4 linked regions of the Schizosaccharomyces pombe genome follow. The protein of the gene in region 4 purifies or fractionates together with the protein of the main gene of each other region. This does not show direct contact. Each region holds a gene or a part of one and is shown on either strand. Other genes may lie near its edges. The genes, in order: spf38, cwf10, gpl1 and nrl1.

The links.
Region 1: the proteins of nrl1 (region 4) and spf38 purify together in Schizosaccharomyces pombe (affinity purification with mass spectrometry, with the first as the bait; 2 studies listed by BioGRID). This does not show direct contact.
Region 2: the proteins of nrl1 (region 4) and cwf10 purify together in Schizosaccharomyces pombe (affinity purification with mass spectrometry; 2 studies listed by BioGRID, with this or other methods). This does not show direct contact.
Region 3: the proteins of nrl1 (region 4) and gpl1 purify together in Schizosaccharomyces pombe (affinity purification with mass spectrometry; 4 studies listed by BioGRID). This does not show direct contact.

What each region holds. Positions count from the first base shown.
Region 1 is NC_003423.3:4,399,287-4,406,539, reverse strand, and holds spf38 (U5 snRNP complex subunit Spf38), read right to left. Parts: upstream 2,111-7,253; 5' UTR 1,980-2,110; coding exon 1,935-1,979; exon of another isoform or gene 1,894-1,934; coding exon 1,789-1,893; exon of another isoform or gene 1,751-1,788; coding exon 1,678-1,750; exon of another isoform or gene 1,629-1,677; coding exon 1,369-1,628; intron 1,324-1,368; coding exon 1,080-1,323; intron 1,019-1,079; coding exon 723-1,018; 3' UTR 654-722; downstream 1-653. Other genes in the region: U1 snRNP-associated protein Usp109, read right to left, coding at 1-513, 553-569; adn2 (transcription factor), read left to right, coding at 3,693-5,924; TIM23 translocase complex subunit Tim21, read right to left, coding at 6,549-7,220. UniProt on the Schizosaccharomyces pombe protein: Involved in mRNA splicing where it associates with cdc5 and the other cwf proteins as part of the spliceosome.
Region 2 is NC_003423.3:4,048,734-4,057,997, reverse strand, and holds cwf10 (GTPase Cwf10), read right to left. Parts: upstream 5,443-9,264; 5' UTR 5,398-5,442; coding exon 5,372-5,397; exon of another isoform or gene 5,328-5,371; coding exon 4,968-5,327; intron 4,930-4,967; coding exon 4,578-4,929; exon of another isoform or gene 4,519-4,577; coding exon 2,302-4,518; 3' UTR 2,019-2,301; downstream 1-2,018. Other genes in the region: protein Mtl3, read right to left, coding at 226-1,830; SPOM_SPBC215.11C (aldo/keto reductase family protein), read left to right, coding at 6,616-7,536; odr1 (haloacid dehalogenase-like hydrolase ), read right to left, coding at 7,911-8,819. UniProt on the Schizosaccharomyces pombe protein: Component of the U5 snRNP complex required for pre-mRNA splicing. Binds GTP.
Region 3 is NC_003424.3:2,118,790-2,126,315, forward strand, and holds gpl1 (Gpl1-Gih35-Wdr83 complex RNA-binding subunit), read right to left. Parts: upstream 3,625-7,526; 5' UTR 3,420-3,624; coding exon 1,815-3,419; 3' UTR 1,641-1,814; downstream 1-1,640. Other genes in the region: ATP-dependent 3'-5'-directionality DNA helicase fml2, read left to right, coding at 1-431; mde1 (5'-methylthioribulose-1-phosphate dehydratase), read right to left, coding at 573-781, 825-1,000, 1,049-1,126, 1,186-1,263, 1,307-1,330, 1,374-1,495; rad57 (DNA recombination mediator, RecA family ATPase Rad57/Rhp57), read left to right, coding at 4,501-4,567, 4,663-5,660; whi2 (phosphatase activator), read left to right, coding at 6,203-7,015; gih35 (ATP-dependent RNA helicase), read left to right, coding at 7,278-7,368, 7,412-7,489.
Region 4 is NC_003423.3:3,289,038-3,294,606, forward strand, and holds nrl1 (NRDE-2 family protein), read left to right. Parts: upstream 1-1,848; 5' UTR 1,849-1,994; coding exon 1,995-3,835; intron 3,836-3,873; coding exon 3,874-4,784; intron 4,785-4,828; coding exon 4,829-4,995; 3' UTR 4,996-5,069; downstream 5,070-5,569. Other genes in the region: SPOM_SPBC20F10.03 (uncharacterized protein), read left to right, coding at 1-53; nse4 (non-structural maintenance of chromosome element 4), read right to left, coding at 429-521, 569-660, 706-925, 964-1,057, 1,101-1,359, 1,404-1,484, 1,528-1,591; mitotic spindle checkpoint protein Mad2, read left to right, coding at 5,238-5,307, 5,349-5,495, 5,542-5,569.

The sequences.
Region 1 (7,253 bases), 1.1 Mb from region 4:
GGTGTACCATAAAACCCAGGCGAACTTAAGTAAGTATTTTTATCGGATTTGACGGAATGAACTAATATAGATCTTTTTAAACAAAAGGCACCCTGCATCTCTACCTGCGCGTTTTGTATATCACTTTCATTAGCTAACCATATGAAAGCAATGCTAGTTGAAGTCCCGTCAACACAACGTAGAACACGAGCAGAAATAAAGTTATAACGTTGAAACAAGTATTTTATATCATTTTCAGACACTTCTGGATCAATGTTACTAATGAAAAGCATATAGTAACTAGGTTTTTGCCATTCAGGAACCACATCTAAAGAGATCGGGTTCCCAGATATTAATCGTTGAGTAGATTGCCTTTCTAAAGCATTCCTAGCAGCATCTTGACTCTCAAATTCAATGCAGCAAGTTTTTAAAATAGCTCCCGACTCGCCATCTTCATAATAGTTTACTTTTCTAACATTTTCAAAAATTGCTCGAATATAGTCCTCATTCATCCATTCTTCTAAGTTATTTAACCTGTTTAATTAGAAATAAGATTAGATGATGTATCATTACCATAAAGATGTACTCATAACGCATATAATTTGATAATTAATCGAAATCTAAGAAACTTGTAGTTATAGGAATTATAACAGGCTTGACAACTAAGATCGTCAAATAATAAGTTCTACAGAAAATTTTAATAGTATTTAATGTTTATTGAAAAATTATTCATGAAATAAAAATTAATTCAATTCCCCAAGAAATATTGTTCGATCTGAGGAACATGAAAGAATGATGTCCTGATGTGGATGAAAGTCAACGTGATTTACTGAACCCTCATGTCCGGGTAATACATAACGTAAATCGCCTGTGGCTGACCAAACATATACGTTTTTATCAGAGCTACCAGCACCAACGAATCGTGAATTACGACTCCAGGCAACACCTAACAAATTATGCTCCTGTCCGTGAATAGCTCCTTCAAAAATTTGCAACTGTCGTTGAGCAGAAGCAAAAGGTTTTACATCAAATATTCGAACTATAAATTAAAATAGCATTAGTACAAAGGTTGATCAAACACCCAAAAAAAATTAGCATACCCGTGTTGTCCATAGAATTAGAAAGTAAGCTAGATCCATCTTTAGATATAGCCAAACTAGTAATGATATCTTTATGCCCTTTCAGAACATGCGAGCAGTGATTGTTTCGTAAATCCCAGATTTTAATAGCTCCGTCAATACCACCGATAAAAACTTGGGTTCCTTGCTGCGCTATTGCGACAGCCGTTAAGGGATATTTTTCTTCTATTGTTTTTATGCAGTCTTTTGACCGCGAGTCCCATACCTTAAATTTAGTAACTATTCCATATTTTAATAACAATATCCATACCTTCATAGTACAATCATCACTTACAGAAGTCAGAAGTTCGGAACCAACTTTTAAAACGTCTAAAGCATTCACCACGCCAGCGTGGCCTTTATGCTTCCGGATTTTTTGACCAGAGACAGCGTCCCAAGACATGAGGTGTGTATCGGAGGAAGAACAGTAAACTACGCGTGAATCCCTGCTCCACTGTAAATCAGTTATGGCTCCCTTGCAGCCATTTAATACTCCGTAGTTTTTAACGTCACCAAACACATTCCAAAGAACTAAACCACAGTTATTATAAATCAACATTTTAATTACAGCTGCACTTACGTATCTGTCTATCCATACCGCCAGAAGCAAAGTATGATCCAGAAGGATCGAACCTGGCGACTAAAACTTCAGCCTAAAGCGTTAGTATGATTTATTTCAATACAACCATACCGTATGCCCAAACATCTGTAGGTTTGGAACATTGAGATCAGATGTTCGTTGCAATACAGAACCCTCCGTTATTAAGCTAGAATCTTGGATTCTAATTCTTTTAACCTATTTATATTAGTGCATGTTTTTTTAGCAATCGAACATACTAAATGTCCATTAGTCGCACTCTCCGATTCCTTTCGTTTATCCATTTCCAGTTTACTATATATAATAACTGCAATTTCTGATTGACAGTTTTCAGAATTAGAACGTAAAATGAATAGCAGGGACGGGAGTGGAAAATATATAAAACGGATCGACAATCGTCGCAGGGGTTTCTGTCACAACCAAAATACCAATAAATCGGACTTTTCTTTGGTGTTCAAATAACGAGGAATGATGAGCTCATTCCTATAAACAGGACTTAAAGTAGAATTTATATGAACAACATTTTGATTACAGGCAAAATCCCTAAAAATTTACCCTTCTCATGGAAGCCATTTAAAATTCGTTTAAACAGTATAAATAAATTGTAAGAAATATCTATTCCGTATACTATATACAGACCTTGTTTGTGCTTGAGGAAAAACACTAGTATCAATTAATGTCTTATAATATTTAACGAGCGGCTTTAATATCTAGTCTATCTCGATTTTACCACCATCAAAAACACTTGAGAAGCATTTTGCCATTAGCTAAAGATGCGTAATCACATTTTTTTTGGGTATAGTTATTAACAAATTTTTCTACTTAAAAATTGTATGTACGGTTTTCTGGGCTGAATTGTCTATTCTAGTCGCCTCAAAAATTGAAATATAAACAACGAGATAATCACTGATTAGGTATAACCGCATACAAAATTTCATAAACTTTCTCCCGTCGAATATATTTGTACTTTAAGAAATTAATTTTTGATTAATATCAAAATCCATAATTCTACAGGGAATCTAGCATGGCAATAATAAAGGATTATCCAGTAGATAGTAGTTCTAAAGCCGGATTATAGCATTTGCAATGAAAGAGAGAAACTAAATTTTCTACTTGATAAAAAATGAATTATAGAAAACTAAAATGTGGAATATGTGAAACTAAACAAATTTACGCAAAGCTTCCAATCTTCATGTAAGTACTTTCTAAAAACTTGTAGTGCCAAAATTAAGCATCTTGCTTGATTTACTGAAAAACACAATTTGCAACTAGTTTTCGAATAGTGAACACATTCCAAAATCTTTACTACTAAAAGCATTTCTAACAACTTTAGAAAATGATAATATGAGTTCCAGTGCTTAGTATTTACATCGCTAACTTATGTAAAAAGCTGTAGATATGTATATTTTCCAAGGCAAGGTAAATAAAACAAGAATAATTGATACTATCTACATAATTACAGCATTCTTACAAAAAACTGCGGCTAATAGTATTCTTAATTCATTATGATGTTTTTACGGATGAAGAAATATCAATTTACATTTACTTTCTAAACCCACCTATCCCTTAATTCCACAGTTTTCAGTTAGTAAGTTTGCATATATAAAATCTGAAATTACCACTGGTTGATTCATTGAAAGTATATCATCTTAGAACCATATTTTAATATAGCCCATTTTAGATAATTCAAATCCGAATATATACATAATAACTATTATTAAAAATGTTTTTAGAGCATGACTTGCCTTGGAAAATAAGAAACCTCTATAGAGTTTTACTCTTCAAGGGTTTTGATTTACTCTGTAACTAAATTCAAACATAACATTTATGATTTTATGATTTTCAGTAATTGATAGAAAACTAAAATGAAAATATGATATACAAAATGTTGCGGTAGTATAGCGTGCGCAGATCTTTAAAATTATATATCGCCAGCGTGCATCGTTGTAGATCCATATTCTCGTTCGCAACACCTAACTTCTGCACATTTCTAGTTTATGGCTGATCCAGGTTTAAGGTCCGGCGTCGGATTGCCAAGCCAGCAAGGACAGAAACATGATTTACAAAAAGATCAAAAACAACCGCACGTAAATAATGCCGATAGGACCACACAATCCTTACTGAATTCGTACATATATGATTATTTAATCAAGAAGGATTATTGTGAGGCAGCCCGAGCTTTTGGCCGTGAAGCACAAGTACAAACGCTCGTCAGAAGTCAAGAAGAAACCAATTCCTTAGCTAAGCGTCACAAAAGAATGTCTCCTGTTGCTGTAAAGCATGAAGGTATAAGTAATAATGAATCTTCGGATGAAAACATGAATGTAAATAACGGTAATTTAGATTCCTTTTCTTCTTCTTCTGCTCCGCCGCCACCTCCTATTTTGCCTATCGATTCAGCTGGTGGTTTTTTAATCGAGTGGTGGAATGTTTTTTGGGATATTTACAATGCTCGTCGGGGTCAAGGATCTGAGCCGGCAAAGGCGTATATGTCTCATATTAGCAATCTTAGGAAGAAATCTCGTTTAAATTTGCAAGAAATTCAAAAAAACTCTCTACACACTGGAAATACTTCTCACCCTTATGCAAACGCCTCATTTCCCCATGATCCTGCCAACGCAATGGGTCAGCAGATTGACTCATCTCAGTTTCATCAAGGGGCAGGTGGATTGAACGATAGAAATCAGCACTTAATGCGGCAAGCTATGCTAAATAATCAAAGCCGTGAAACGTTTCCCCCGACCGCTGCTCAACTTCAACAATTAAAACAATTACACTACAGGCAGCTACAATCTGTGCAACAACAACAAAAGCAGCACCAGCAAAAGAAAACTCCACAAAGTGGTTCTACCCCACAAATGCAAAACACGACTTCTCAACCTACAACTCACGATACACATCCACCTAAGCAGCAAGGTCCAATTTCCGATTTTCGATCCATCCCTTCTTCACCCAAAACAGAAGGTGCTCCATCTAATGCTCAATTTCGCCCTAGTTTACCGGCAACTCCTAATGGTTCCGTTCCCCAGTCGAATCCGTTGTACGATACCACTGGTCTTAACGGAGGACAATACCCTGTTGTTCAAAACTCTGCTCAACCATTGCTTCACGAGATAAATTTTGCTTCAAACAGAAATCCACATCTCAAACAAGGAGGAGCAGTACCTTCTTCTACCCTTCCTCAACAACAGAAATCTTTAGACAAACCTAAACCTGCTCAACAGCCTTCAACTGGGCAATTTTCTGGAAATCAAATGAACCAATACGGATTCTCTAATTCTCCTTACTCTCAAAATATGCTATATAATTTTAACGGAAACGCAAACCCCAGTCGTCTAAACCCAGCTCTCAAGAATTATATGGAGGAGTTAAAGCTACTAGAACAACAGAATAAAAAGAGGCTTCTGTTAGTTAGTCAGGAAAAAGAAAGAAAAGGGTACACATCGGCATCGCCTGATAGACCGCTTTCTCAGACTATTACTGAATCTAGTGTTGCAAAAACCAAAAGCACTACTCCTAAATCTACTGACACTCCTACAGAAGCCACCACATCTCCTGTAAAGGTCTCAACAAAAAATAGTAATACTACTGAAAATCTTAATGGCATCAATGAGTCAAATATGCCTATGTTACAAAATGGTCTTCCTTTACGTACATCAGGTGATCATCCATCAAACTATTCTAATCTGATTGAAAACTCATCTACCTCTGACACAAATAATGCGGACAATGGAATGGACGTTATGGGGAATTGGCAATTACAACAAACTCATTCATCGCGACCCACTCCAAATGCCAGTTCTCCATTGGACGTTCGATCAAAACAAAAGCCTTCTTCTGCTAATTCAAATGCTCCAACTCCAGCACCGACCGTCAACACTACCAACCCCGAATCATCAACAAATGAAGCAACAAGTGTAGGTCCTGCTTTGGAACCATCGCAAGGAGCAAATGTTCACAAATCCGATTCTGAGTTGGATAATCAAAATCAGTCAGGAAAATCAAATCCTGATACTTCCGCGACTCCTTCTGCACCTACGGAGTCTACCACAGTTGCCACTAAATCTTCAGACAATCAATTATTGGATGTTGGAAATTCAACAGACATCGATGCGGCTCTTCTAAATGATTTTGACTTCGACAAATTTTTAAAAGATACTAGTACTGGTGACGATTTATGGTTTGGATTGTTTAATTTGCCGGATAATGAAGACTCGACTGCTGCTTAATTTTGTCGAAACTTAAGTATTTTATCCTTGTTTTTCTTCTTTTTTAATTTGTTTATTTGGAAATTATATACCAGATTTTTTCATCTTTTTTGAATGCGTTGCGTTTTGTCATTATAAAAATTTAATATATAATTAATTGCTAGTTGGATATGGATTAGTGTACTCGGTTATAAATACCGGCCTACATCTTGTACTTTATATCTAATAATCAAAATTATTTCATGTGCTTTGAATCATTCTTATATTTTTTATAACTAAACACATTTAGGTAGTACATTAGATTGGCGATTAATCAGCCCCTGCGAAAAGGCCCCTCGTACAAATTCGCTTCTTTATACTAACTAATTAAACAACAAATCATGAGGTTCGATCGCTTAATTAGTAATAAAGTGTCGACGATTTTTTTATTTTTTGCAATATACATCCAAATACTGCATAACTAAGTGTGCTAATTCTGATAAAAATCATTAACATCGCCTGTAAATTAATTCGTAAATTAGAAAATTAATTCTCTGCGAAAAACCATTAATCAAACCATTAAAATCGAGAAATAATTCAATGATTTCCTTTTCGGTTGAAATTAACAGCTATACCTTTCCGTCGTGCGTTTATCATTCGGAAATTCTAATTTCCCCATGTAATATTTTTTAAGCTTCCCCATAAACCAAAATTCTTATGTTGTTGTCGTACAGAATTGGTATGATCAAAAATTATGATTTTTCCGTAATTTGCAACATCAACGAAAAGATATTCCCATTTATAGTCACCTTGAACATTTACAAGTCTTCCAAATACGTGCCCTTTTCTCTCATTACCGATTAAGTGAAATTGTAGTACTAGATGTTCTACACCATGGTGATCCCACACACGACTAGTCAATATACCATGAGTTCGACGAAGAGGATGCGTGGCTTCACCTAGGGCTTTCATGTGATCTCCAAAAACATATCGACATTCTTCATTAGCCTTTAAAAGTTCAAAAGCTTCATCACCGTAATGTGCCTCGCCCTTCCAGATACTAGTGACAAGTGCATATATAATCAATCCGAAAACGCCGCCTCCAAATATCACAATCGAAAAATTTCCAATATTAGCAGAAGTTCTGTATGCTTTTTGAGGAGCCGTCAAATCCTTCCAAGCTTTGTTAGACGGATCTTTGAAAATTCGTGCCAGGCGCCCTTCTTCTTGTGGTTTCCGTTGTTTATTGAGAGAATCAGAAGCCAAAGAGTATAATCTCCTCTGAACCAAAGCTGAAGAAAACCTTGTAGCGCTCTGCCTTTGAATAGTACGAATCATCTAGTTGATACAAAAAGATGCAAAGAAGATGTA
Region 2 (9,264 bases), 760 kb from region 4:
CTTCGACGAAAAATTTAAGTAGCAGACCGCCAAGCAAAGATATAAGCCAGGTTTAATAGTAATAAATATAGGTATCAAAACGTTTAATAAACCACAAGATCCGCGTGGTTTCAACCCATTCTGTAGCTTCTTAAAAAAATAAAATAAACAGTTCACGTTATTAAAAGAAGCATTAAAGATTCAAAACTTTAGTGAATCTAATTTTAGACCGAGCGTTTCGGCAAATTAAATAATAACAATCGCAGCAGCTAAAACAACAAATAAACTAAAGAAAATCGATGTCTTGCTATGAGTTGAAGAAGCCCCGGAACTGTCTGTCGATGAACTATCACCAACAATGACCAACAAAATGCTAGTTTGAGTTGACTGAGATGCATAAGTACTAGATCCACTAGAAACAGTTTCCACCGTAACCACATATACAGTTGACCTTTCGTATGTATGGCTTGAAGAAGTTAGAAGTGAAGATGAGCTAGCAGTCAGAATTGGTTTTGAGCTCAAGCTCGATAATGAATGGCTAGATGAATGACTAGAGCTTCTGCTAGAGGTGCTGTTGTGATAAAAAGCTGAAGATACTGGAGCAGAAGAGGATTTAGAAGACGAGGATGATTTATGACTTGACAAAGACGAGGAATGAGATGAAGAGCTCGCGGGACGAGAGCTTGAAGAAGAAGAACTTGTTAACGTAGAAGACGAAGTGCTCGAAGAAGAAGAAACAGTAGAAGAGAAAGAAGAAGATGACTTTGAGGAAGAAGTAGTAGAAGAGAAAGAAGAAGAGGAAGGAGAAGATGATGATGATGAAATAGTTGAAGAGGAAGAAGTAGGAGAAGAAGAGAACGACGACGACGAAGACATAGAAGACGAAGAAAGGGTGGAAGAGAAAGAAGAAGAGGACGACGACGACGATGAAATTGTAGAAGAGGTTGAAGTGGGAGAAGAAGAGGAAGAGGAGGAAGAAGAAATAGTAGAAGAGGTAGATGTGGGAGAAGAAGAAGAGGAGGAGGACGAAGAAATAATGGAAGAAGAAGAAGACGAAGATGAAGCAGTAGAAGAGGAAGAGGAAGAAGACAAGGACGAGGAAGTAGAAGATGATGAAGAAGAAGTAGAAGGAATAGAAGAAGTACTTAATGAAGAGGAAGTAAGTGTCGAACTAGAGGAGGATGAAGGAGAGCTCGATGAAGAAACAACACTTGAGCTAGACAAATAGGAGGAGCTAGTGGAAGTAGGAGCTGCGCTACTAAAGGTTGAAGAAGAGGTGGAGCTCACAGATGGCTGACTTGAAGAAGTGCTTGAACTCAAGGAGGAAAAAGTTGAAGAAGTCAAAGGATCAGAAGATGACAAACTTGATGAAGAAATACTTACTTCAACACTAGTACTGCTTGGTAAAATAGCTGATGATACAGAACTTGGGTCCAGAAGAGAACTGGATTCCGTACTAGAAGGCGTATATTCAGAAGAAGTAGGTGAAAAGAAAGAAGTCGACGAGGGAAGCTGACTAGTTGCGGGATCAGAATAAGAGCTGACCGGAGACGAGTAAGAATTAGTTTCTGAGGGAGTAGCAGATTCAGAAAAGATACTGGGTTCACTAGAGCTAGTGGGTGTCGCATACCCGTAGTAAGTAGGAGTTCCTCCAGTTTCAGCGGCACGACCATAATATCGGATTTCCTGACGCCTTTGTAGTTCCTCTTGAGAATCTCTGCCCTCAAGTTGATTTAAAGATATTTTTGTGAAGCTGGAATTACCATATATTTGATGCACCAAGAAGGCTTGCGTAAAAATGTTCGATATGCAAAATACGCAAATGAGAGAAAACAAAAGTCTCAAACCCATCTTCAGTTTTAAGGATAATAATAAACTAATCTAACTAAACTCGCTGTATTTTACTTCCAAAAGCAGAGCACTTCCGGAAGTTGTATATGTCCCTAAAGTCTTCCGGTATACTGAGAGGGTAACTTCATGACATATGACCTCGGGTGTTTATAGTACTATGAAATTACGTTATTTCAGTTGAGTGTTAGTTTCTTAACATAAAAAAATAAATAATAGAAGTTATTTATCTATATACTAAAATCGTAAAACCAAAATGCGACTTTTCCTTCTGATCAAGGATTTCACAAATAATTTACGGCTTCAAGATATGCGCTGATTTTTCGGATTTCATACACTGTAAACGCGAGATTTGAAAGCAAAAAAAAGTTGTTAGACTTCTCGAACTTTCATAAATAATCGTATACTTTATTATTAAAATCTACCCAATTTATTTTTTTTTGCAAAATCCATTATAAAGACTTAAAACCGACATTACAAAGAGAGTACGACACCTGCTTCTTTCAAAGAATCAATCATTTCTTGATCGAAATAGCGAGTTGTAGAAACATCTTCCACCAGACCTTTTCTACGTCTTGTCTTAATCAGAAAGTCTCTCGCCAAATCAGAGCCACGTGCGGGTTCTAATGGCTTGGGCTTGATAGACTTATCCAGTGGATCACCAGGTACTACCTGCCAATGATCAAATACCATTTGACACATAGCTTGACCCTGAGTATGCACTCGTAAATCTGTTTCAAATCCACAAGAATCAATGACTGGAATAAGTGCTCTCACCAAATATAATGGGGAACCTGGCCGAGGGATATCTTGGAGGACATGACCACGACGACGCGTTAATAAATCATAAATAATAGGAAGACTGTCAGCGGGGGCATGTACTTCAACCATATACACTGGTTCCATTAGCCGTGGAGACGCTGTTAAAAAAGAAGAATAACACACTCTCCTTGCGGTTGGAATAATTTGACCACCTCCTCGATAAATTTGTTCAGGTGCAAGCACTACATCCATCAGGCGAAAATTCACGTTTCGGATTGTCTCATCACATAGAGGACCTTCCCTAGTCCCCCATTGAAAACCTTGTTTAATGTATTCTTTTACGCTATTAAGCACGTTTTTATCAACATCTGTACTAAGAGTATCATCCCGCAATATATTCGTACCACGATCATCGGGACCAAAAGCCCAGATGGAACGTGAAGCTAGTAAGTCCCAATCGTAGTTCTTTTGGAAAAATTCGCTGATTCTTTTTTGAGGCCAATTGATATTAACTTTTCCATTTTCAATGTCATTAGAAATTCCTTTCTCCAATGGCTCAACTACCATTGTGATACGATTTTTTTTATTTGGAGTATCTGAAAAACACTTGATACTTGATGTGTCCACCGCAGTCTCACAGAAACGAGCAACTGGATCGGAAACTCTGATTTCGATTTCAGAGTATAAAGTCCGAAGATCATAAAGTAGACAATCCATATACATCTCACCAGTACCGAAAATAGTATGTTCCCCAGATTCTTCTACTTTTGTGATAGATAGTGGGTAGCTTTTGTTTGTTTTTCGTAGGCCATCAAGTAGTTTTGGTAATTCTGATGGATTGTGTGGCTCTACAGCCACCTTGAAAACACTCTCGGACATGTGAGCAATTGGCCTGAAAATGTAAGGATCATCTTTCAAATTGTCCGAAACGATGGTTGCTGTTTTGCTAATAGAGTTATCAACACCTCCTAAAAGAACTAGCATGCCGGCAACAGCTCCATCAACGTGAAGACGATATCGTGCGCAAGGTACACATATTTCAGCAATATGAGCAACCACCATATCCTCTTCGTCTTCTAAAGAATAATTTTCTCCAAGAACTTTAACTTTCTGACCCTTTTTAACCTGACCACTATATACACGAGCAAATGCATAAAAATTATTAGCATCGACGGTGTTGTAAAGTTTAGTAACATGCATGACTAATGGTGCTGATTCCTCACGACTCATTTCTAAGATAGCCTTGCCGATACTAGAGTTTATAGGCCCAATATATGATTGAGAGGCTTTACGAGCGGCATTTTCTCGAGGCGATGGAATATGTCTAGTAACTGCATTCACAAAACCAACGGGGAATCCAAAAAACGATGCGCAAATTAGTTGCAAGAGTGGTTTAGGATCTAATAAATAATCCTTGGGTTTTAAATAAATTTGGAAAGAAGATAAGTGTTTTTTGAGTTTTTCGGCTTCGTCAGAAATAGTAAGGGTATGTAATTTATACAACGGTTCTAATATGAAATGGACAAAGCTTCTAACGCCAGAGCCATCCAAGGACTGTTTGGCAAATTTTCTGGTTTTCGAATCGAAATAAATATCCCCCCACAATCTTTTAGAAAATAAGTCCACGTCGATACCTCCATGTCTATCTATATAGAGTTTTGCGAAACTAGACAATGTAAAACAATATCCAAGATCACATGAAGCAAAACAAACGTTCCCTAACTCAGGAGAAACGCGATATTTCAAATCTTTACTAATCTGGCAAATGTTATCGTTTACTTCGTCGATAACGTGTCGAAGTTTATGGTAAGCATCATTCGGAGGGAGACGTAGCTCAAGGATTAACCTATCAACTTTGTTCAAGACGAGCACAATTGGCATATCGTGAAGAATCGCATGTTTGATAATTCTAGTGGTGTTAATCATCACCTAAAGCATGTTAGAATCTTTATATCTTCAAAACGCAAGAAAAGGCCAGAATAACTTACACCTTCAATAACATCAACGACTAATACAACACCATCACTTATGGCCATAGGAGCAGCGACTTCATCAACAAAATCGACATGACCAGGCGTATCGATGCACTGAAATGCAAACGTCTTACCCTTCATATCAGAAACTGCGAGCGTAAGTGGAGTACTTTTTATAGACATCACACGTTCTCTTTCAAGATAATGAGTGTCGGTATATCGAAGTGAACGCCTTTTTGGCGGCTTGGTGTCAGGATGGGTATAATAAACGAGTAAATCTAATAAAGCGCTTTTGCCGTGATGCAGATGGCCAGCAACAATAAAAGATCTAACGTCATCTGTCCCAGTTAAGAGACCGAAGAGGAACCTTAAAAAGTTAGAAAAGACATTGTTACACATACTTACTCTTTCTTGTATACAGTATCTGGGACGTTTGTTGTTTCTATAGCAATCCTTTTGTGACGAATTGGCTCAATAATGGGCTGGCTTAAGGGTTGAGTATCCTGTTCCTGAACCATGATATCCACGTTGGACCCATATACCTCTTCAGCGCTAGGATAATATTGTTTATCCTCGTGAAGAACAACGGCATTCTGAGGCTCTAGATGACTCAACGCCATTTCCTCGGCCCTTTCAACGTCTTCTAATTCTTCATCAGGAATGACCTCTTCAAAGGATGGTACCTGTGCAATTGTAGGGCTAGGAGCCTGAGGAAACAGCTCCTCTTCATCTTCTTCATTTTCAGGGCCTATGTAATTTCCAAACCTGGCGAGTTAGAAATAACTATAAAATGTTTTTAGACCACTTACTCATCATATAAATCCTCTTCCATCATCAGTTACTGCCAAGTACCCACAATGCACAACTTTTGGTAATTACCAAATTTGAAGTAAAGTGTAACCAAGTTTTCGAGCTTTAGCGCATTCATGTCTCAACTGCGATTTATATCTCGTTAAGCTTTGATAATGAGCTAGAGAAATCATTGTCTTTATACTCTCTAAACGAGATATGATCGGCTCAGTAACTTCCACTACACTCTTTAAGGTTGCCGAAGAACGACATCGTCTCATTTTGATAGAAAGGAATGAATCGTAATTATTGAAAACCAAATATACTTTTTTATTTACCAACTTCCTCCTTAAAAGTCGTACATGGGTGTAATTGAGACCTTAAAAGACTGGTTATGTCTACGATTTGAGCTACCGACCCATGTTTAGCAGCCAAATTTATAAGCTTTTCGAAGACAATAGTAAGAGTAAATAGCCATTGTAAAAGTGCGGTGCAAACATTTTTAGAGCGCAAGTTTTGCAACTGTACAAAGTATTTAGTGTGTTTATAAAACACACAACAAATTGCTGAATGTCAATAACACTAATAATATACTGGCATCATCAACTAAATTCAAAAAATGTGTTTCCTTTCAAATACAGTCCTAGAATTGTTATTATGTGCAATGTTTACCTCGATTTACGGAACTGGTCAACCCATTTGTGGTCTCCAAATGATAACTCGTAGTACGATTTGATAGCACGATCAAGCATAATTCAAGAAGATGGAAAATATAAATCCACATTATCTTGAATAGAAAGAAACATAGCAATAAAGATCATTATCGTTATGTGCGACCATCGTTGCTCATGAATAAAAATGGGCTGGCAAAAGAAGACAGAGATACAGTTTAGACAATTCATCCAGCATCAGATTTTGGAACCATAAAATTATCATTAAATTGAATAAGAGCCAAATCAAAAAGGACTTAGCTATTTACTCTAATTCAAAATCCAACCAGCAATATCGTACTATAATAGTATTAGTCATCGTTATGACAATATATTGTCTAACGCGCTCTTACATCATACCACTGGATTCTGTAAATAGGGTATGTAATAAATCAGTTTTCGTGGTTTAAGATAGTCCGCATCAATCCAGCTTATGTAAGGAATACACCATGTAAAATTACTATAAAAGGAAACGGCGTCTGACATCCCACACTTACCGGATCCACTATAGTACTTGATCTTGATTTCTAAGAAAAGCGACAAAAGACACAAAAATGAGTAAAACTGCAGCTTCTTCCGCCGTAGATGCTTCACAAGCTGGGACTGTCAAGGTTGGCGACATGGTTGTCAATAGAATGGGATTCGGAGCAATGAGAGTTACCGGTGATGGTATATGGGATGAACCCAAAGACAAAGAGGCTTGCATCGCAACTTTAAAACGTTTGCCTGAACTCAATATTAACTTTATTGATACCGCCGATTCTTACGGCCCTGAGGTCAGCGAGAATCTTTTACGAGAAGCTTTATACCCTTACAAAGGACTTATAATTGCTACCAAGGGTGGCCTTGTTCGTACAGGTCCAAATGAATGGCATCCTTGTGGAGCACCCAAATTTTTACGTCAAGAAGTACTTATGAGCATGCGTCGACTTGGAGTTAAGCAAATTGACCTCTGGCAACTACATCGCATCGATCCCAAGGTTCCTCGCAAAGACCAATTTTCTGAAATTGCAGCTATGAAGAAAGAAGGATTGATTCGCCATGTTGGATTGAGTGAGGTTACAGTAGACGATATCAAAGAAGCTGAACAGTATTTTCCGGTAGTTAGTGTTCAGAACTTATTCAACCTTGTCAATCGTAAGAATGAGAAAGTGTTAGAATATTGTGAACAGAAGGGAATTGCGTTTATTCCTTGGTATCCCTTAGCTTCAGGAGCATTAGCCAAACCCGGAACCATCCTGGACGCTGTTTCAAAAGACCTTGATCGTTCCACTAGTCAAATAGCTTTGAGTTGGGTTTTACAACGCAGTCCGGTTATGCTACCTATTCCTGGTACTAGCAAAGTAGATCATCTCGAAGAAAACGTCAAGGCCGCTGGAATCCAATTATCTTCTGAGGTGTTTGCCAAATTGGATGAGGAGGGTAAAAGCGAAGATGCTAAGCGTCAAGAAGAGGAGAAGAAAAAGTCTTCTTAGATTTCTCTTTTTCTTTCTATGGAAACTTACTAATGCCACGATGTTTGGAATTTCCATATGTTGATAATGTTATAAAATGATCTCATGATTAAATTAAAAGCATCTTTTTGTATTGATTTTTCATATTCCTCGTAAGGTCTACAAGGCACTGTTTAAGAGAAAGCAGTTTTTAACATGCTAAAGTAAAAATACACGGCATTCACAGAAAAATAGTTATACCCGCGGCTACGTAAATAAAGAAGTTTACGAATGCTTATATATAATATGTATTGTAATTTTCGTTATTTTGATATTTATTATTGTATGGGAATTAGATATTGAATTTTTTTTGTTATAATTTAAACAGGAAAAAGATACTATATAGGTTGTTAAATTTAATTAAAATCAGGAGGGATATTATAAATTCGTTCCAACACTTCACCAACGGCACCTTCAGCACTTGAAACGTCGGAAATTGCCTTGGCTGCCTTTAAGGCGACAGGCATTCCACTACGAATGGCTACGGAATAGCCTGCCAATTCAAACATGCAAACATCATTTGCTCCGTCACCAAAAGCTAGGACGTTTTCCAAGCTAATGGATGGATAAATCTTTGAAAGAATATTCTTGAGCGCAACCCCTTTGTTATCATTGGGAGGAATTATTTCAAAAGTCTGGGGAAGCGCTTGGGTAAGAGCAACTTCATCCGAAGGAATGCCAGCCAGTCGCTTTTTGGCTTCTTCAAGGCCGTTAGTATCATCATCAAAAACTACCATTTTATTGAAGATGTCTTTCGGGCCCTTAAGCTGAGGGAGCATTTCATTGGCGTCGTCCTTTACTGTTTCCCCACAGAGTCGCAAAAACTTAATACCATGTTGTTTTTTATCCGATTCCTGTTTAATTTGGTAAACGTAATCTTCATCGTAACCGAAAAGTGCACACGTTTGGATGTCTTTGAGCTTATCAATAATATCGATGGCTAAAGAGTTTTTAAGAGCTGCGCAAGCAACGATTTCACCTTTATCGTAAACTACGCAGCCGTTAAGGTGAACACAAGGAAAGACATGTAAACCTAACGCTTCTCTGATATTACCTACGGATGTTCGCTGTCTACCAGTAGCTAACACAAAAGGTAGCTGAGGATAATTTTCACGAAGATACTTTAAAGCACGAAGGTTTCGCGGATGTGGCTTATGATCCGGTCCCAGCAAAGTACCATCAACATCACAGATAATGAGTTGAATATCCTCCGGTTTAGGTAAGACGTTTTTCTTTTGATTAATGTCAATTTCTTTAGACGGCATCTTTCTTTTTTGTATGAGATTTTTAATCAAAACACTGTTAACGTCCAATTTACCTGTCTATGATAAACAATTGATCAATTTATTTAAAAATCAAAGTAACTGTTTTCACAAATACCCACAATGATCTATCGTATTTGTATTTATAGCCCGAAAGATGACACAGATACAATATAACTTGCTGACTAATATTGCTGTATTGAAGAAGCGTACCTGTCGTTCACAGCTGAGGTGATCCCTTTGGTTTGTGAATACAAAGGTTGTGGGGTGTTTAAATAACTTTAAGTAGCATTCCCCACTTTTGGGATGACAAAAGCATGTTGAATGCCGGACCTTCGGTAGTCAAGATCTCGATCCCACTCCGGCGCGTTATTAAAACAGAAAGAGATATTGTACGGCAAGACGAGTATGGAGGGTTTGTAAAATGAAGGGTATGCGTTTGTAGTGA
Region 3 (7,526 bases), on a different chromosome or scaffold from region 4:
ACGCAACATTGATATTAAACTCATATAACAATAATTCCTCATCATTGTCACCTGTAAATACACTAGCGAACCAAGCGCATTCTCGTTCTAAACGGTATCTTCCTTTCATAGTGGATGATGTTTTTGAAGATATGGAAAGCAACCTACGGGTGCCTACTGAAGACGCAAAAATTAAGCGATTTAAATCGGATTATAGAAGTTGTATTTATAACGCCAGACGCAATGTATTTTCAAAGCCTACCTATATGGGTGACAAATTGACTAAGTTCGCAAAAGTACCACATTCTTTATTAACGCTCAGCATCTATAGACGGGGTAGACTTTTGCAACAATGCTCGCCTTCCTCTGTCACCAAATACTTAAAATATGAAGAGAAATTTAAACGGAAGCGGATGAAGAAAACGTCGAATGCATTATTTCAAAGTACATGAAATTACTGATTAAATACCTTAAAGAAAAAAATATCATAATCCGAAACTTTAGTAGGAACTTATGTGAGTTTAAGCTTATTTATTTGTTATATAGTAACTTTTACCTTAGAACGCAATGTCTTTCAAGCTGTCACAAAATTTCTATTCTGGTTTTTGAAGCCTTCTTCTCCGTAAATAAGCTTGGAATAAAAATTCTACCGCTTCAGTATTCATTTTGGTATCTTGCCACGTATCGCCCCAGCAGTAAATACCGTGATCTCTAACAATTACAGCACAAGTATCTGGGTACAAATTGATCGCTTCTTGCAAACTATCATGAAGATCAGACTCATGAGCAGTATTATTGATAACTATTCGGTTAGCAGCCTTTTATAAAAGTTTGTAAACTCATACATGGAATTTTTATCTTATCTGTTGGCTTATGAAACCCATTATTTTTAGATCCTTTTGGAATATACGATAGTACTTCAAAACCTGTTGCCGAAAAATGATCAGAATCCGCAAATAGAGTAGACAATAAAATGGCTTCCTGAGAATGGGTATGGATACATGCATATGCGTCACGCAAGCTACTGCTTTAGTAAAGAATTCAATGTTCAACAACTTTGCTGACTTACGTGTATACTGCTAAAAACAAAGGTGTACACTGAGAAGGTTTCAATCGAAGAGCTGGCATTCGCATATATTCTCGAGTACTGCAAGAGGTTAGCATCTACTCAAAATGATAAAAACAATGACAATAATAATATCATACATTAAAGACATGACAAAAAGATGGTGTAACTCCATCCTTTCCTTTTGTACACCCGAGGGAGCGATTACAATGGCATCTCTACATGAAAGTTAATATTTGACGCTTTAATAATGCTTTGTACCCAGAGCGAATGGTAATTCCTCCTCTGATTCTTTTATTAGTTATATTAAATTCAAATTAGTAATTACCCAGTTCCTGTAACCCAGCCCGACGTATACAGATCTCGACAGATTTCGCAAATTAATTCACCACATTTTTTCAAATCGCCAGAACGAAGACATCCTAAGTCTTTCTTTAGAAAATCATCCATTATTACTATGATGATAATTATCTTGATGAAAAATTTTGAAAAGGGTCACGTTTCATTAACGTTTAAAAATTTTTAAGTAGCAAAAGTAACTGTGAGTTTAATCTACGCGACATTAAGCAAACAAAGTGAAGTAAAGAATTGATGTGTATAATAGCTATCTTGATAATTATTATTTTTTTTTATGAAATTATTAAACATTGTGTCATGGCACTTGAATAAATAGGAAGTACTAAGTTTTTGCTTAAAACAAAAAGTTTATTACAGTCTATTAACCTAATGAAAATAAAGTACAATAGAAATCAATTAATAATTTTTTTATTCAGTCATCCCCAAATATTGCACTGAAAAGAGTTTGGGGAGCTTTTGGTTTTTCTTCTATATCCTGGGGTCGATTCAACTTCCTTGTATCAATTGAATCGATACTTTTGTTTTCAATTTCAGCAATAATAGGTACATTTTCAATAGAAGAAATATTTTTACGCTTTTGTTTTTCTTGACCGTACGGTAAGGCGACATTAAAGCGTTTACAAAGAAGACGTTCGGGAATGAATGTAACAACTGTACGAGGTCTTCTCAAAATTGAATCATCAGTTTCACTATGTGAATTAATCGACTCTTTTTTAGTCGAGGCTTCAAAAGAACTTACGAAACGCATCGATAGATTTTTTGACATAGGTCGGTATAGTGAAGCTGTTTGAGTAAATTCTAGTAAATGACGAGAATCAATATCTCTGAGTAATCGTGGCATATTCATTAGGTGCGCCTTAAGGAAAATCTCGTAAATTCCGGCACGCTCATCGTTATAGGGATTATCTTTCCTAGACATTGCATTTTTAGCTGTCTCAATGTCAATTAGTTGCCAAGATCCCTCATCTTCCTTGACACCATGATTAACATCACTAGGTAAACTTGCTTCACCGTTGGAATTTGTTTCACTTTTCTCAGCAAAAAGTGGTAAGCGCTCATTTGAAGTTTGGGCTTTTTTTTGTGAAAATCCTTGAGAATTTGTAAAAAGTTTTGGCTCCCAACCCTCAGGTATTGTAGGAGGAGGAAACCAATTATTTTGAAAAGGTGATTGTAAATTAAATACCACTACAAATCCTGGAAGGGGAGGTAGACCATCTGAGCAATTTTGCGATTTGATTATGCTTTTCCCTTTGCTTCTGTCTTTTTTTGACAGAAAGGTATGCTTAACGGGTGTAAATGGAGAAGCGACTTTTTTTGTAATGTTGATAGATTTATCATACCGCATTTTTGGAGCACCGAGGTCGTATATATCTTGATCTTCTATCCCATCATCATTTAAAACACCTGATCCAAATCCACCGCGCAGATTTTTTGCCATTCCAACTGGTTTTCTTTCCAGCTGAAAAACATCGTCCGCTTGATACCCGATACCGTGATAAGCTTGGTTGGTTAACTTAGTGTCATCATAATACCCTTGAAATGGAGATATAACAAAATCATGACCGTTCCATCCAAGATTTTTTAACATTTTTTCGCCAATGCTATCGTCCCTATTTGAGAATTCTCTAAGTAGAGGATCATCAATTGGTATAGATGTATCAATCGTATTTATTTTCGAAGTATAAACTTTACTAAGCTCTTGGTCAGCACGATCTTCCTCGTCCATAATATCGTCAATAGTCATTCCATGCACACTTTTGTTTTCATTCCTTGAACTTTTCCAAGATTTAGGTTGCCAACCCTCTTTTGAACCAACCGTATTAAAATAGCCAGCAGAAAATCCACCAGTAAATGCACCATGAAATCTCTTTCTATTACGCTCATCCCTGGCTTCTTGTTTCCAAACAGGAACTCCTTGATTAATTCTGGACGGCTCAAGATCAAAAGGGGAGCCATAAACTACATAAGGGTGCCGATGAACATCGACATTGCTTCTTTTTCTTGAATTGGCATACATTTTAAAACAAGAAGTAATCGTGATCCGTAGTTAAACTGAAAAAAAAAAAATTCAAAATTCAAAATTTAAGGCATATTTTAGGATACTATAAGCCCATTATTTTTGAGGCGACAAGAATACTATGTTGAGCAACTTTTAATTTTTAATAAAGCCAGATAACTTATCAAAGAATTCTGATTTGTTGACAAAAGCAATTACAATACTCAATTTTTAAACAGTTGCCCTTGCTTCGAATTTCAGCTGCCTCCGTAGTGCAATCTGCGAGCGTTAGGGTACGTTATTTATCTATTACCTAATTCTTTGTACAGTTGAAGTTTCATGAGATGAAAAATGTATCATGTATATTTTGTCTGTTATTGAGAAATCTCAACAAAGTTCTATTTAGTATTACTTCATGTTGAACCAAGCATTCATAAACTAAGAAATTTGTTGGTAGCTGGTAAACTGAGCGAATTATCGTCGGTTGATTGGTAAAACATCATTTCTTATACTTCGTTTGCTCAACCATACTACGAATTTTAATGCCTAACAATTAATGAGCAATACACATTTGGATATGCTGCTTATATAATTTCACATATCTTGATAACTTAATTATCAATTAAGGAATGGTGGTTAGGCAAGTATGTGTATCATTACGTGGGGTTTTTCATAGATGTATGGTTTGAAGATGTTAAAAAAATAAGTGTAAGCGGTTACTATGCTAATGTTCTATAAAAACCAATGTTCATATAAATATTCGTCGATTGCGGGGCTTCTTCTCATAAGGATTATAATTACTAAACATAGAGGTATTGGCAGGTCAGTTGTAATTCGCGTACAACATCTTCGACTCACCACTTCTATAGTGGTACATAAATTACCGTTTCTTTCTGCGAAAAAGTGGGTTAGAAGTTCGTGCTATTACTTCTAAATAATCGTGAGAATTTAATTCAATCGTAGGATACAAAGCTGTTCATTATATAAAACTATCAACTTTCGAATATTCTATGGTGTGGATATAATTTTCATTTATCTTTATGAGTAAAAACTATACATATCATATTTACAATTAAAAATCTTCTTTCTTTCTACTATATGGATGGATATTTCGAATTATGTTGACAATTTCTACTTTGATGAGAAAATTGCTTCAGCATTTGAATTAGGTAAGCGTTTAGTAGTTCAATAAGCTTGCACATAAAAAAAAAATATTGGGTTTTTGTACCGGGATCTTAAAAGACGGAATTACTGACAGCTTTAGGAGAAGTAAGCACGGTTGATTTGTTAACGCTGGATATTACTGAGCTAGAAAGACGCACACATTGTAGTCAAAGTGAGTTATTACAGTTAATTGAGCAGATATCCCTCCTTCTTCAACCAGTAAGATGTTCTGCTTCCAAAGTCACTTCGAAATATTTGACAACTGGCGATGTAAAGTTGGATGAAACTCTACATGGAGGTATACCAGTAGGACAGTTAACTGAAATATGTGGTGAAAGCGGTTCAGGGAAGTCACAGTTTTGTATGCAGCTTTGTTTAATGGTTCAACTACCTCTCAGTTTAGGAGGAATGAACAAAGCAGCTGTCTTCATTTCTACAGAGTCCGGTCTTGAAACAAAACGATTATTTGAACTGGCGCGTTATTTACCAGAAAGGTATCCCAAAGCTGATAAGAAAGACATAATTATAAAAAATCCAGGAGATAGGGTGTATACTATATTATGCCCAGATCTGGAATCTCAAGAACATATCATTCAGTATCAACTGCCGATTTTATTCAATCGGGATAAAATTGGGTTGGTTATATTGGATAGTGTCGCCTCCAACTACAGAGCTGAGCTCCGTTACAACCGATCCAAAAGTCATTTTAGAGATTTAGATAATATTGCCAAACGTGGAAATCAATTGGGAAAGTTAGCTATGACTCTACGCACTTTAGCTCATCAACATGAAGCTGCTGTTGTCATAGCTAACCAAGTTAGCGATAGAATTCCTAGAGATTATGATGCTATTGGGTTGTTTAGTTTAGATTATCAATCGCAATGGTTTTCGGGATGGGATGACACAGATCCAAATCCCAAAATACCATCTCTTGGTCTCGTTTGGACTAATAACATCAGTACGAGATTAGCATTAATTAAGAAAACCGACTCTGCCACCAATAATTCGGGGAGAATCTTTCGGGTTGTTTATTCACCAAATTCTCCAAGGCTTGACGTACGAATATGCATAGGATCGGTTGGGATATATTCGTGCTAGCATTTTTGTAAAAATTTTATATATAATATAATAAAACCGGTTTATGAATTGCCCTAACTTTGTTTAATCGACTGTCGCTTATCAATCATTCGCAGAAAGAAAAGTAATGCTTTGAGTAACTGTTACATATATAAGTGTACTTATTTATCTTTATATTTATATTACCTCTGTCACTATTAAATATATATTTTGTTGATCTATGATGGTAGTGCATTTTTATTAGAATCCGACATACTTTAGTGGACTGAATTTTGGATATACCAGTTGGGTATTGAAATGGAAAAAAATACAATAAAAAGTTTTACACGTAACAAAGAATGCCCAAAGAGCTCTCTTAACCGACGAATGGCTTTTTCTACCTGTTTTTACTATTGCGCGTAAAAGATTTTGTAAGACCTTTCCGATAGCTTCCGCTATTGGCGATCCTTTAGAAATTTGCACCTAACATTTTTACCAAAAGCCAAGTATGCATTGGTGATATCTTGTAAATAAAAAATGAACATTCTTTTATAACATAATCGTTACAAAAATAGAACACAAAAATGTCAGTTCCAATTGATCGAATCAATACGGTTGACACTTTAGCCAATACACTGGAAAGTAATTTAAAGTTTTTTCCAGAAAAAATACATTTCAACATCCGGGGCAAACTAATAGTCATTGATCGCGTTGAACTTCCAATATTACCAACTACCGTGTTGGCACTTCTATTTCCTAATGGGTTTCATCTGCTTTTAAAACATGAGGGAGGTGATGTCTCATCATGTTTCAAATGCCACAAAATCGACCCTTCCATTTGTAAATGGATTTTGGACACCTATCTACCATTATTTAAAAAAAGTAATAATGCTTATCCCTCAAAAATTGCATTTAATCCTATATCGAATACTACCCTCGTTTTATTCTTAACAGAATGTTGCAATATCTATTTATTTTCTGAAAATAAAAAGCCCGTCGACCAAAAAATCAGGAGCGACTTATTAGAGCAAACTTTCAAGAACAACGACGTTTTTGAAAGTGCAGACAAAAAAAAAATCCGAAAAGGGCTGAGTGATGGACCGCTAGTTGATGCATTACAGCATTGTGGATTTCGCTACAACGATAAATGGGCCAAGAGAGTAAAGGAGCCAAAATTAATGAGCTTAATGTCGTATATCATAACAACAGTCGAGAGCTCCTCATTAAGCGAAGAATTTTTGAGTAAAATTTTGAAGCTATGGGGACAGCCAGGTAATAAGTGCTGGTGGATAAACGAAGTTATAAAAGTAAACGGATCTTTAATCAATGTTTGGAGGAGAAAGCAGTGGTTGTTGGAAGTTACGATTATGGGAAATCGTGAAAATTCTCAAGACTAAGTGTTTTAGTAAAAATAAGATTAAAAAACATTTTGCTAAGTTAGGCCGTGCATGCAGCCATTCTTTTAACAGATACCAATGTTACGAGGTTTCCCAGATTTTACTCAAATTGCGTGATAATTATTGTAGTATATTTATTTTGAATAATAATTTTTTATTTGAATTTTGTTAATACTGTTTTTTATAAATATTACAATACGTTCAATCTAGTTGTGGTAACATGAAAGTGCTTCCACTTACTTGATGCTCTCTACGCAAGAGTATGCCTAATGAGTTTATTTCCCAATCGCTTAGTACTCTTACAAATACACCCTTAAATATTCAGAAAAAGCTATTACCAATCACCAAATACAGTATGTAGCTGTTTTACCCTTACATTGCTGACGTTACATTTAGGAAACCAGTTGTTATATGCAGTAGAGCAAAATCAGATTACTATAGTGTTAGGCCACACAGGATGTGGTAAAACAACTCGTAAGTATTTTGATTAGATGGTTTATTAAACTAAAAA
Region 4 (5,569 bases):
ATCAGCGCGTTAGAGCTGACTATATCAATTCTGTCTACTTTTCTCAAAATTAATAATCTAATCATCCTCCGTTGCTCATCAGGTCTTACAATGTTATGAAAAAAGTAATTTGCTTGCATAAATACTTAGTCCTACAATTCCCCAACGTTCTGCCTTTATTTATTTATTTGGTTATCATGTGGATTCATAACCTAAAAGTTTTGATGCAAAAAATATTCTTGCTGCTTCTAAAATTATTTATTATTTATTTATTGAATCAGATCTCTTCTTGTTAAAAAAGAAAGGAATTGACTTGATTGTATAAAAGGTTTGGGTTATGGAAAGCTCTTATTTTTATCATCTATTAATATATTGTTTTTATCTTAATTACGAAGCGTTATGTCAAATATGGGTAATTAAACTTGAAATTAAAGATTGTTGTATTAGTATCAGCCATACCAAGTATTACTGTTAGTAGATGTTTCAACGGGTGCTCGAGTAGGAATAATGCTTTCTTTGATATTGTATTCTTTAATTATGTTCTGTCATTCGAGAGGTTAGAAAAATTTTTAAACATGAATACACCCACCTCGTACAAATCCATTGTCATATCCAGTACCAATTGAATGTTTCTTATTTCGCCTGCCACGACTTGATCGTCCGTTGGAGGAATGCGTGTTTCTTACAAGTTAATAATAGTTCAAATTCTAAATATAATTGATTTACCAAGCATGAGAATCCCGCTTTCGTTTTCTACGAGGGCAGCTTTGCCTTCTTTGAATAAAAAGCTGACATAAAACAAGTTCTCCACTGTTTGAGGATAACTTTGAGGATTGGTGATGAATTTCAAAAAATTAACAGGCTGGTGTGCTTGAAGTAAACGAGATATGTGCAAGACATTTTTAGTGGTGTTATTTTCTTGGGTAGTAATGTTACGTTCATTCAGCTTCTTGAGTTAGAAAATATAAAAAAAATAAAAATTACCATAGTAGGTTGAGTTAGCACATTCGGGGCTTTTTGTAGTCTTTCTCGCCGCTGGATGTTTCTTTCTTTCTTGCGAAATGATAAAGGACCGACCCTAAAGAGGTTAGATACGCTATTGGAGAAACTATTTTACATACATCAAGTTCAGAGAAGCGGGCTGTTTTTCGCAATTACTTGCCAATTTCCCTAGTCTTGACCATGCTGTGTCAATTTCTTGGATTCGAGTAACATTCGAGTGGGAAGTAGGATAGTTGAGGAATTGCTTAATATTTTTTGTGAATAGTTCAATATTAAACTTGGGCCTTCCAATATGAAGCTGCCTAGCTTTAATGGAAGCCAGATCAACCGTTTTAGTAAGCAGTAAAGCATCTAAGGTTGCTTCAGTAGGAGCATCAACTATTAATTATGTTAACAACTGACAAAGATACACTGATATTCACCTGAAGAAAATAAATCATTAGCAGTAGTAATAGTTTCATATAAGTTATTGTTTTCCTCATCAACCAGTTCCAAACGACTTTCTGCTAAAATGTTAGTAAATTATAAAGTAAAGCTGTACATGACCTTGAACTTTGTTTATTAAGTTCCTATATCGTTTTCTAAGATCCCGTTTATCAATGGAGGACATATCGTGGGTTTTTTGTGATAGTTTTTATTCAAATATAAGCTAGATGACGAAATTAGATTTTGAAGTACAAAATTTGCCCAGTTTCCTCATGAAGGATTTGATCGCGAGCAAATCTTTCAACCTTTAAGCACAACTCTCCAAGATTGGCTTTTAGATTAATAATTTTTAAAATTAAAAAAGTAAAACGTTGAAGAAGAATGTTGCCATTAAGTGTTAGCTTAATCGTTAGTTGATGCTAATAACCAAGTGTTGCTGCTAACGCCAGCAAATATTTTGTCAACGAGCATATGCAAATTATACTGGTATATACGGCAGAAACTATTTAGTATATTTGGATCATTTCAAAGAATATTAGTTATGGGAGCCTTTGTACTTTTTTTCTATTAATTCATAAACACCTATAATGCCGTCTAATCATAACACGTCTGTTCCAAAATTTTCGAGTTTTAACTCAGTCAAGGCAAAAAAAAATCCAATTACAAAGAGCAATAAAAAATATCGATCATCTCATGATCAAGTTTCCTCAAATCATGCGAAATCGAGTTTCCCTTCGCATCGATCAATTCAAAGTAATTTCGCTGTAGACACGAAAGGAGAAAAGCAAAATTTACTTTACGGGATTAATAAGAGGCCCGTTCCTAAATATCATAGATCTTCAAGTTCCGTATATGGATCTGCTCCTCTGCTACGAATAGTCAAAGAGTCAAAGGAGGGCATAACCCTGAATAAGAAAAAATCGTTGGAAATCAAATATGATGAAGAAAGAAGCTTTGATGAAAAAGAAAACGATGAAAGTGAATTTGAAGATGGGCAGCAGGGATTTATTCCATTGTTGGTTAATAGAAACTCGGATCCATCCGAGAAGTCAACGTTTTCTTTAAATATTCTGAAGGCTATTAAGGAAACAGATGAAGAAATAAAAAAAAACCCAGGAAAAGCAAGGTTATGGATAAAAATGTGTGAGTATCAAGAAAGACTTTTGTTTGATGAATTTCGACGGAGCAATTCCGACGACATTAAAGGTAAACTGAAGATTGAAAACAATAGTAGAAGCGTAAAACTATCAATTCTGGAAAAGGCACTTAAAGAAGTTAAAGGATGTGATCATGAAATATTGGTTTCATATTATCTCCAATTGGGCTCAGAAGAATGGAGTAAAGAAGAAACTAATCAGAAATTCGAAGAAGTATTGATTGAGCATCCAGGTTATCTTAATTTGTGGATGAAATATGCCGAATATTTTACTGGAATATCAGAATTTACTTTCAATGATTGTCTAAACATGTTTTCTAAGTGCTTCAAATTTTTAAAGCAAAAATTATCCGATAGAAAATCGTGTAAGGAAAGAGAATCGACAGACGTAACTTCCAATTTTGAAGTAGAGGAGGCCATATTACATTTGCTTATCCGACTATGCGATTTTCTGAAGAATTGCGGATACTATGAGCTTGCTTGGTCCATTTTTCAAGCTAACATGGAGTTATGTTATTTTTATCCGCGGTATTTGGAAAAAAAACTTGACAGTACTTTTTTTGAAAGCTTTTCTAAATTTTGGAATTCAGATACTCCGAAGTTTTCTGAAGAAAATGCTAGGGGATGGTGTAACGTCCTTGATGATGAGTCCAGCCAGCAAAATCAAAATTTCAGTTCAGAAATTGGAATATTTCAAACAGTTAAGTTATGGTATCTTAACGAAAGCAAATTTGATACTAATCCTCCTCCACGTAGTACCATGAGTTGTCGAAAACTTTCAGGAATAGATGATCCATTTAGGTATATTGTCTTCAATGACATACAAGACTTTATAGTTTGTTTTGAAAGCGAAACGATTGCTTTCGCATTCAAGTATAAATTTTTTGCATTTTGCGGAGTACCTCTTTTTCCACCGGGGATTTCAACAAACTCATGGTTTGCTTCTTATGACAAAGGAATTTACAACTTGCTTTTTGGCATGGCTTCCAGTGAATCCTTTATAAATGGACAGATAGCTGAGAAAAACAGCTTTCAATTTCCCTGTAGTATACTACCTTCATACATTGATCTCTTCATTTCTCTTATGTCGTTTAAAAATTTAAATTTCAAGTTATTTGATTACAACCTTGCACATCATGTGAAGGAATCAATGGAGCGTGCTTTTCATCAACTAGTATTTTCGGCGGACGATGAGTATTTAGCGAGCGTTTATTTAATTTATTTAAAGCAAATGGAGACGAAGAACCTAAGTGAGGAGAAACCCCAAGTGAAGTAAGTAGATGTTTTTGTTTCCTTCTAACCAAATTCAGTAAAATTGTAAAGAAGATTCTCAAAAAATACGATAGTTCAGTGTCTGTTTGGAACACTTACGCTCAATTGGAACACTTAAGTGGTGCTTTTACTATGGCTGAAACAATTTTTAAAACAATTTTTCAGATCCATGCTTCCCAATTGCGCTACATTGATAATTTAAATGTATACAAAAACTGGGCTTTTAGAAAGCTACTTATTAATGATACTGAAGGATGCTTAGTTATTATAAAATGCCTGTTGTTTCCTGGTGATAAATCTTTAACTAGCGATAATAATCGAGCATCCGAAATGCTATTTGGTATGTTGGAAAATTGCGCCAGCAAGGAAGAATTGCTGTATGTTTGTCTTATCTATACTATATGGACACACTGTACTGATATGGATTCAATGGATAATTGTGTGTATTTATGCATTCAAAAATTCGAAAGCTATGGATGGGGGGCTTCTTCAGAAATGGAATGCTATTTTTCTTATTGTTCATTGATTTTTTATTATCAAGCTACCACTCTTCAATTCTATAATCTACCCAAGGTTCGACCTTTTTTTGAAAAGGGAGTTACACTTTTCAGTGCAAATACGGCTATATGGGAAGTTTATATATTTTTTGAATCTAAGTTGAGACAAGAGAACAAACCAAAAATTAGGGCTATGAAAATTTTAAAATCTGCTTCAAATGCTGTTGTTACAGCTTGTTGGTACCTTTTTTATGTTGCCGTTCAACAGATTGAGCCAACAAACTCACAGTACTTTTTAAGGACTTTGGATATCACTCTAAATAATGAAAAGTTGAAATCCGTCGCCAAGTTTTGGAGAATATATTTAAAGATTCTCAATTTGCGATTAAATGGTACTGAATGGGTTTCGGCGATTACCACCAAAGCATTGGCTTCCTGCCCCTGTAATAAAGGTAAGTTAATTAAAAACATAGAACATTTCACTGACTAAGTTTAGGGGTTTGTATGGACGTTATAGACTTGCTCTTGAAAAAAGAGATGGAGAGTCGGGCTATTATTTGCTATATAATCATGTTGGAAAAAGGCTTTAGAGTCCATAACGAAATAAGGAGAGATGTTTTAAAGTTTGAAAGAGGAGATGAACTTATTTTGTCCCCAAACTGACATTATTACGATCAATGACTTTTAATGATAGAGATAGTGAAATGAGTTTAAAATGACAGATTAGTTACTTTCAAGTTTGCGTAAATGCTTTAGTAGTCTTATTATTAAAGTTTTCACTTTTGTTTGTTAAATGCTTATATGGTTGCTTTTACGTTGAAAGGGTACCTCTAAGCAACCATCATGGCAGTACCTACTCAATTACTACACAACCTATTGCTTATTACAAAAATCTACAACACAACATGTCTAGCGTTCCCATAAGAACGAATTTTTCACTGAAAGGTTCTTCCAAACTTGTTAGCGAATTTTTTGGTTTGTAAATGTTTCAAATATGCCATGCTAACTTAATGAAGAATATGCGGTGAACTCAATCCTTTTTCAACGAGGAATTTACCCAGCAGAAGACTTCAAAGTTGTTCGGAAATATGGATTAAATATGCTTGTCAGTGTAGATGAAGAGGTCAAGACTTACATTCGAAAAATTGTATCTCAGTTACACAGTGAGTTGTTGTTCTATTATCACTTTTGGAATTAACAAATTTTTAGAATGGATGTTTGCAAAAAAAATTCAAAA